2 linked regions of the Zea mays genome follow. Each later gene encodes a partner of the first gene's protein in a complex. Links are inferred from orthologs where the notes say so. Each region holds a gene or a part of one and is shown in the gene's direction. Other genes may lie near its edges.

Region 1 (3,059 bases):
GCTAGTGTTGCGAATGATTCTGGTGACTGGGGAGGCTGGAGTAGTGGAGGTGGAGCTGCTGCAAAGCCAGCAGATCAAGATAATTCATGGGAAGTGCATGCTAAGGTGCAGGACAATTCCACCACTGATTGGGGAGGCTGGAGCGTTGAGAAGCCAACAGGTGAGGCAACTGTATCTGGAGAACCAGCTGAAACAGATACTTGGGCTGATAAGGGTGCTAAAATGGAATCAGATGCAGGTGATGGTAATTGGGAAAAGTCCAGCACTCCTGAGGCATCAAAGAAAAATGACTCATCAGAAAATACATGGGACAAAAGAAAAGGAGATGGAGGTGATGGTGCGTGGGGGAACAGGTCTGATGATGGCCATGGCAATTGGGAGCATCCCAGCAATTGGAATGGGCAGAGTTTGGATGTAGATCAGGACACATGGGGAAACGCCAGGGGAAAAAAGAAGGCAGATGGTAACTACTGTCAATGGGAGGAGCAGCCAAGCAATTACAAACAGAAGAAGACAAATGCTGATCATGATTCCTCCTATAACAATGTGATGCCGTCATCAGAAATTGCTTGGAATGCTGGAGATGGAACTGGAAGACCAAATGCCAAGTCTAATGCAGAATCCAGTTGGGGTGAGGAAGATAAGATGGAGTCTGACGATCATCCGAAAGTCCCAAAAGAATCAGACACATGGAATACAGGGAGATCAAATGAAAGTCCATGGGATAACACTGATGCACTGCAGGATTCCTGGGTTAAGAGCGCAGCTCGCAATAACAACACTCAGGATGGTTCATGGGATAAAGTAGTATCTATGAAGGATCTTGATTCACTCCAAGATTCATGGAGTAAGGCGACAATCCAGACGAATGATGCACAGAATGATTCTTGGGACAATGTGGCAAAAAATGCCCCGGATTCTGCCGCAGAAGACTCCTGGGGGGCTGCAACACCAGCGGAGACAACTGATTCTGGTAACAAGGAGTGGAAATCAGATGGATGGGGGGCAAAGTCTGGTAACTGGAGCAGCCAAAGAAATAATCCTGGGAGACCCCCAAGGAGACCAGATGAGAGGGGTCCACCTCCACCAAGACAACGGTTCGAACTAACAGTTGCGGAGAAGAACATTCTTCTAGAAGTTGAACCTATTAAATTACGTGTGAGAAGCATCTTCCGTGAAGCATGGTAAATGAACTCACAATAGCTTGCTGATTTTTTGTGGTGCTGCATAGTACCTGTAGTTTTTTTTAATTAAGCAATGAAAAGCGTGACTGATGTTTTACATGAAAGCATACAGTATGCATGACAGCTATATTGTTTTATGCAGTGATAATTTTAATTTTATTCTGTCTTAAATTTCTCAGTGACGGTGTTAGACTTAATCCAGAAGACGAGAAGTTTATCCTGGAGAAAGTTCTTGAGCACCACCCGGAAAAGCAATCCAAGGTGTCTGGTGAAATCGACTACCTAACGGTACGGTTTTACATTTCGCCTTTGGGTTCTGCATTTCGTCACCTGAGCACATCCATCAAGGATTCCATGGTGAAAACAAGTCTTATCTTGGACCGTTGGTCTGTAATCGCCTTGCTTTTGACAGGTCAACAAGCACCAGACTTTCCAGGACACTCGGTGCTTTTTCGTGGTCTCCACAGATGGATCCCAGGCAGATTTCTCCTACCTGAAGTGCCTGGAGAACTTTGTGAGGAAGAGCTACACGGAGGACGCCGACACATTCTGCATGAAGTACTTAAGGCCCCGTCGCAGGCAGGCACCACCAGCTGATGTTGGGACAGCATCAGGCGCCCCGGATGAGGTTCCACCGTCAACCGCAGCTGAGACAGAGCAAGGCACTCCTCCAGCCCCTCAGGCAGAGGTTCCACAAGAGACTTGGGGTTCTCCCGCAGTGCCTCTGGAAGGAGGAACTCACATCGCCGGACCAGACTCAACAGGCGACGCTGTGATCCTAGGGGAGCAGCACGATCTGACTCCGGCTTCTCCAGCTGTGGCACCACAAGTGGCTTCTGAGCCAGACACAACCGACGGCACGGGGCTTCTAGGAAAGGCTCCGCAAGCTGACTGGGGACCCAGATTCGACGCTGACTGATATTTAGGCTGTGTGAAGCTGCCGCATGTAAAAGCCAGACCTGTGCTCTGAGCAAGGGAGCATTCCCTTGCTAAGTCGTCAGTTAACTCCCCTTGACTTCATCTGGAGAGGTGGACAGGTAGTAGCGGCAAACATTCTAGCCCTTAGCGGCCGCTTGCTCGTCCTCGTCCGTTTCGTCTCGCCCTGATGGGAACCATGTAAATCCTTGGGAACAAAGCTACCCCCTGCTGCCTTTACCGTATCTAGTTGGACCTTCCCCACTGTTGGAATCTGTGAGTCCGTCTGCTGTTAAATTTTTGATGGTTTCTGGGCTGTGGCTTGCCAGCGGTGATGCCAAACTCTGGAAACCTAGGGATTTGTTTGGTGCGGTCGTTTGGTTGTCAGGTCGATCAGCAAATGTATGCCTTTGTCCTCCAGATATGTGCTTGTTGAGCTAGTAGATAGTGTTACATTGCGTGCCTTTGTTCAATGGAAGCCCAGTTTGAGATGGAGCACGTGTTCGAAAATACTCGGTATCACTTATGAGCGTAAATGCGAAATAAACAAGGGTAAAAAACATACGACAGCAAGTATTTAGGTGAAACATGTTTCTAGTCCTCCGATCCTCATCTAATAGCCCAGAAGCGCTTGCACGGCCACCGGCGGCCCAACCGCGCCGCTTGGGCCGCCAAACGAAAGCCGTTTTTGTCTCGACACTAGAGTGTCTCTGACTCACCTCCAAGTCTCAGTGCGCTCTGCCTCGCCACTTCGCCAGTCGTCACTCGTCACCACCGTCCCGCCCCCGCGCCGTCCCACCCTTGCTCCCACTCGTTGCGCCGCGCCGCGCGATGCAGGCCCGCGTCGTCGTCTTCCCCGTCAAGGGCCGCGCCTGGTGCTTCGCCCTCCCGCGCGCCTCCGCCGCAGCGCCCGCTGCTGATGGCGCCCTCCCGCGCCCGACCCTGAGGGACCTCTGGCGC
Region 2 (4,008 bases), on another chromosome or scaffold:
TTTTGTACAACATGGTAGCTAGAGGATAGGCTTTGTTTCACCTTCAGTTAGGCAGGCTATAGACTATTTACAGAGCTTTGAAAGTTGTCACCGTTTTCCTCCACTTTTGCTGATTTCTTCTGTAACTTTTTCCCACTGCACCCCCTGAAAAATTGTGCTCAGTGTTTTAGCCAATTAGCCAGGAAAAAAGGAAATACTCCATCTCAGCTTATGCATATACTCATACACCTTGTCCGCATCCCCGGCTCTGGAGCTGACATCCAGGAGCGCGGCAAGCTCGGGCTCCGGTGGAAGTTCCACGGCAGCGAGAGGCTGGACCTCCCGATCGGCCGCCGTGTCCGGGTCACATGGGACCTCCACGGCTGGCTCTTCTGCCCGGACGCGACCGCCGCTGTCTTCGTCCTCCGGTTCGAAACCTCCGACGCGGCCGAAGCGGACGACGAGGGCGACACGAACGAGAACGAGGCCGGCCCGCACGTGCTGAGGCATCCCTCGTTCAGTTTTAGGAACCACCAGGCGCACGGCAGCAGCGACGAAAGCTGGTTCAGCAGCGACAGCGATAGGACGGGGTGGATGCGCGGGCCATTCAGGTCGGGCTCCGACACGTCGCCGTCGGTGTCGGTGGCGTCGACGTCCGCGGCGTCGTCGGCTGCCAGCGTGGCCACAGTGTCGGAGTGGGCGGCCATGGCGGCGGTGGCGTCCCCACGGCGGGTGAAGTCGTTCGCGTGAGGTGGGCGTTGGGGCCCTTTGAATATGGCGGGCGGGCGGGGATAGCAGCGGGCGGGCGGGGATTGCGGCGTTCGCGGCGGGGATCACGCGGGCGGGCGGATCGCGGCATGCAGGCGGGCGGATCGTGGCGGGCGCGGATCGCGGCATGCAGGCGGACGGATCGTGGCGGGCGCGCGGGTGGGCGGGCGTAGGGAGGCGGGGACAGTCTACAGTAGTGTCTTAATAGTTAGTAGAGATTAATAAGTTCGGTTGCACCTCTCTTTAAACAAAAGGAAAAGCCTTTTCCAGCTTCCCTGTTCACCGGGACGAATGTAGCCCGTACTGTTTTTCCCCCTTTTCCGCGGGCCCTTGCTTCTCCTTCCAGTCCGGCCCGACCCAAATGGCTTCTTCCCAAGTCCCCATTTGCTGGCCCGAACCGCTTCGCTGCTGGGCCTTCTCTTTCACCTTCAGCTGGACCCCGCCCCTGGCCCGCTCGTCAGGCACCCAAGCACCCCACGCGACGCGGCACTTCCACAAGGTGGATAGCGAACCCACAGCACGTCTCCATCTCTGGTTTGACCGCCGCCGCCGCCGCCCTACGCGGCTACGCCAGGCGCCGAGGCCTTCGTCGGCATTTTCGTCGGCAAGCACTCACCAGGTACTCCCATGCCTTCTCTTCCCTTCCTGCTTTGCGAGTCCCAGCGCCAAACACCCAAACCCTAACTATTTGGCTATTGGCTATTTGATGCCTACTACGAACATTTTGGCAAAAGAAAAAGGTACACCCATGTTCCTTTACTGTGTTCGCCCCTGCTCTGCGCACTTAATGATCTGTTGTTGGGTTGGCGTCATATAGGCAGAGTCAGTTAGTAATCGAGAGAGACTAGCACGAGGGTCTTTGTTGGTCTGTCTGATTTTTTACTTTGGGTTTGGTTGCAGTGAAAAGGAAAAATCCGTAAATAAAGAAATCAGGTCTAGCATTCTTCTCGTGCAACTACAATTGGAAACTAGAAATGATATCGTACCCATGTTTTTTTTCCGTATTAATTTGTTCGGTTGTTCCATTACTTCTCATCCTCTCCGGTATTATGCTGGGATAGATCAACTATACTACACTAATAGAATACAATTGTTTGTACTCCAGTTATTGCTGCAGTGGGCACGTCCCCAGAGCTGGTGGATGGGGCCTTTAGGTGTTATGTCCTCAGAACTGCAGTGGGTTCATATCCGTACTCCTTGCTGCCACCACATAGTTTTGCAGTGGGTTCATCCTCTCCGCAGACCATGCATATGGTCGTGCAAAACACTGTTTGCTCTCCGCAGACCATGCATATGGTCGTGCAAAACACTGATTTGCACTACTGTTTTACAGAGTATAGTTTGAAATAGGAGGTCGCATAGGAAGTCCGCAGGGAATAGCCTATACAGTTCTGTGAAATCTGTTTGAAATGAGGAAAGTGTAACATATGAACCATACCTTCTTATAACCCCACTCGAAAGAACTTTATTTTGACTAATTTTTCATGAGAACTTCTCTGGGACACAGTATAGGGTGGGCTGTGGGGAAACAACAATTGTTAGTAGATAATTGATGTTAGATTATATAATGGCTAGGTTCCAGCGTTGTTTTGATTCTAGTAGCTTCTGTAATCTGTAAGTTGTTAATAAGAGGGGTCCTCTACATAAATCTAGAGAGGAGAGCTGTATCAGACTATAAGCCTAGGTTCCAGCATTGTTTTGATTCCAGTAGTTTCTGTAAGCTTTTAGTAAGAGAAGTCCTCTATATATGCCTAGAAAAGAAAACTGTATCATATTAAAAGCTATCCTTTCCCTACATGGCTACATCTGCCACTAAATTCTTGTGATGATGAAGGGGATGAGTCCTCAACCAACAGTAAATGTGCGACTGTGCAAACATCCTCCAACCTTTTGATATTTCCTATAATCATAACGGAAGTCATGCTACATAATTATGTCTTGACATTCAAATTTTAGTTAATGTCGCCTCCCAACATAGTTTTGTTTTATATTATTCAAGTTTACTGCATGACAATACTTCATTCGCAATTGTACGTCTTCTATGAAAGAATGGTTTACCCCAATTTTACCTGAAATGATCTAAATAAGCATGTCGTTTTGTTCCAGCTTAATTTTACCAATCTCCTAAAAGGTAGATATCTTGTATCTTTTTAGCAGGTATTCAGCCATGGTTTTTCTTGAGGCAGAGATGTCATGGAATGTGTTGATCTCACCTAGCCAGCTGGACCGCAAGGGCCTCCTGCTCCGCAAGGCTATCATTGTGCGTCTTCTGGAGGATGTCACAAACAGGAGGGCTTCGAAAGAGCATGGCTACTACATTGCTGTTAATCAGCTGAAGGCAATATCTGAAGGGAAAGTGCGTGAGCTAACTGGAGATGTTCTGTTCCCAGTTTCATTTACTTGCATTACACAGAAGCCTATGAAGGGAGAGGTCATGGTTGGGCACGTGGACAGGATCCTCAAGCATGGCGTGTTCCTCAAATCCGGACCCGTGGAGAGCATCTTCCTGGCTGAGAAGTCGATGAGTAATTACAAGTACATAGGTGGGGAGAATGCGATGTTCATGAACGACCACTCGAAGCTGGAGAAGGACACCGCCGTGCGCTTCAAGGTCCTAGGGTTCCGCTGGATGGAGGCTGACCGCCAATTCCAGCTCCTTGCTACGATCGCTGGTGACTTCCTTGGGCCGCTGTGAACTGCTTCCACAGGTCAAACAGGTTCTAATGTACATTGCTCGTTAGATGGTGGATGGATGGTTGGATCTGATGTGTAGAATTAAACTTTGCTACCAGTGGTTTGGTCTTGTAGAACCTGAGACATGGTAGGTTTTCTAGATGCTGTTGCCAGTGATATTTAGCTCTGGTTTGAACGTATCAGTGTACCTGTATGATGAACAAGCGTTGTCATGGATGTACCTTTTCTATGCTTGCTTGGAAGTTAACGTTACATGGTGTTCCCTGATCTGGTGAGTGGTTGAATTTGCATCTGTAGTGTTTCTTTATTTGCATTGCATATTGATAAACATCGCTCATACAGCACAGCGGAAGAATAATAGGCAAATGATCCACATCTTCAAACCCTCAAAACTATAAACATCACTCATACAGCAACAAAGGCATGTCAACCATGTCCTTCATAAGGCACTTTGTCTATTATTATTACATTAGAATTGCCTCGTTCAACATGTTTCAAATAGCTAGAAACTAGTGCATGTTCTTCATCAGGCCAACCATCTTTATTACAACATCACATCCAGGCATC

Evidence for each region.
Region 2: DNA-directed RNA polymerase V subunit 1 (region 1) and DNA-directed RNA polymerase V subunit 7 share a complex: the UniProt entries of both Arabidopsis thaliana proteins name them as parts of the RNA polymerase V complex. The link is inferred for Zea mays from reciprocal best matches to the Arabidopsis thaliana genes NRPD1B and NRPE7.

Annotation. Positions count from the first base shown.
Region 1 is NC_050099.1:245,977,323-245,980,381, forward strand, and holds the end of DNA-directed RNA polymerase V subunit 1, read left to right. Parts: coding exon 1-1,184; intron 1,185-1,363; coding exon 1,364-1,472; intron 1,473-1,596; coding exon 1,597-2,103; 3' UTR 2,104-2,552; downstream 2,553-3,059. Other genes in the region: uncharacterized protein LOC100279602, read left to right, coding at 2,931-3,059. UniProt on the Arabidopsis thaliana protein: DNA-dependent RNA polymerase catalyzes the transcription of DNA into RNA using the four ribonucleoside triphosphates as substrates.
Region 2 is NC_050101.1:136,913,112-136,917,119, reverse strand, and holds DNA-directed RNA polymerase V subunit 7, read left to right. Parts: upstream 1-1,203; 5' UTR 1,204-1,366; exon of another isoform or gene 1,367-1,487; intron 1,488-1,857; exon of another isoform or gene 1,858-1,888; coding exon of another isoform or gene 1,889-1,968; intron 1,969-2,901; coding exon of another isoform or gene 2,902-2,914; coding exon 2,915-3,442; 3' UTR 3,443-3,695; downstream 3,696-4,008. UniProt on the Arabidopsis thaliana protein: DNA-dependent RNA polymerase catalyzes the transcription of DNA into RNA using the four ribonucleoside triphosphates as substrates.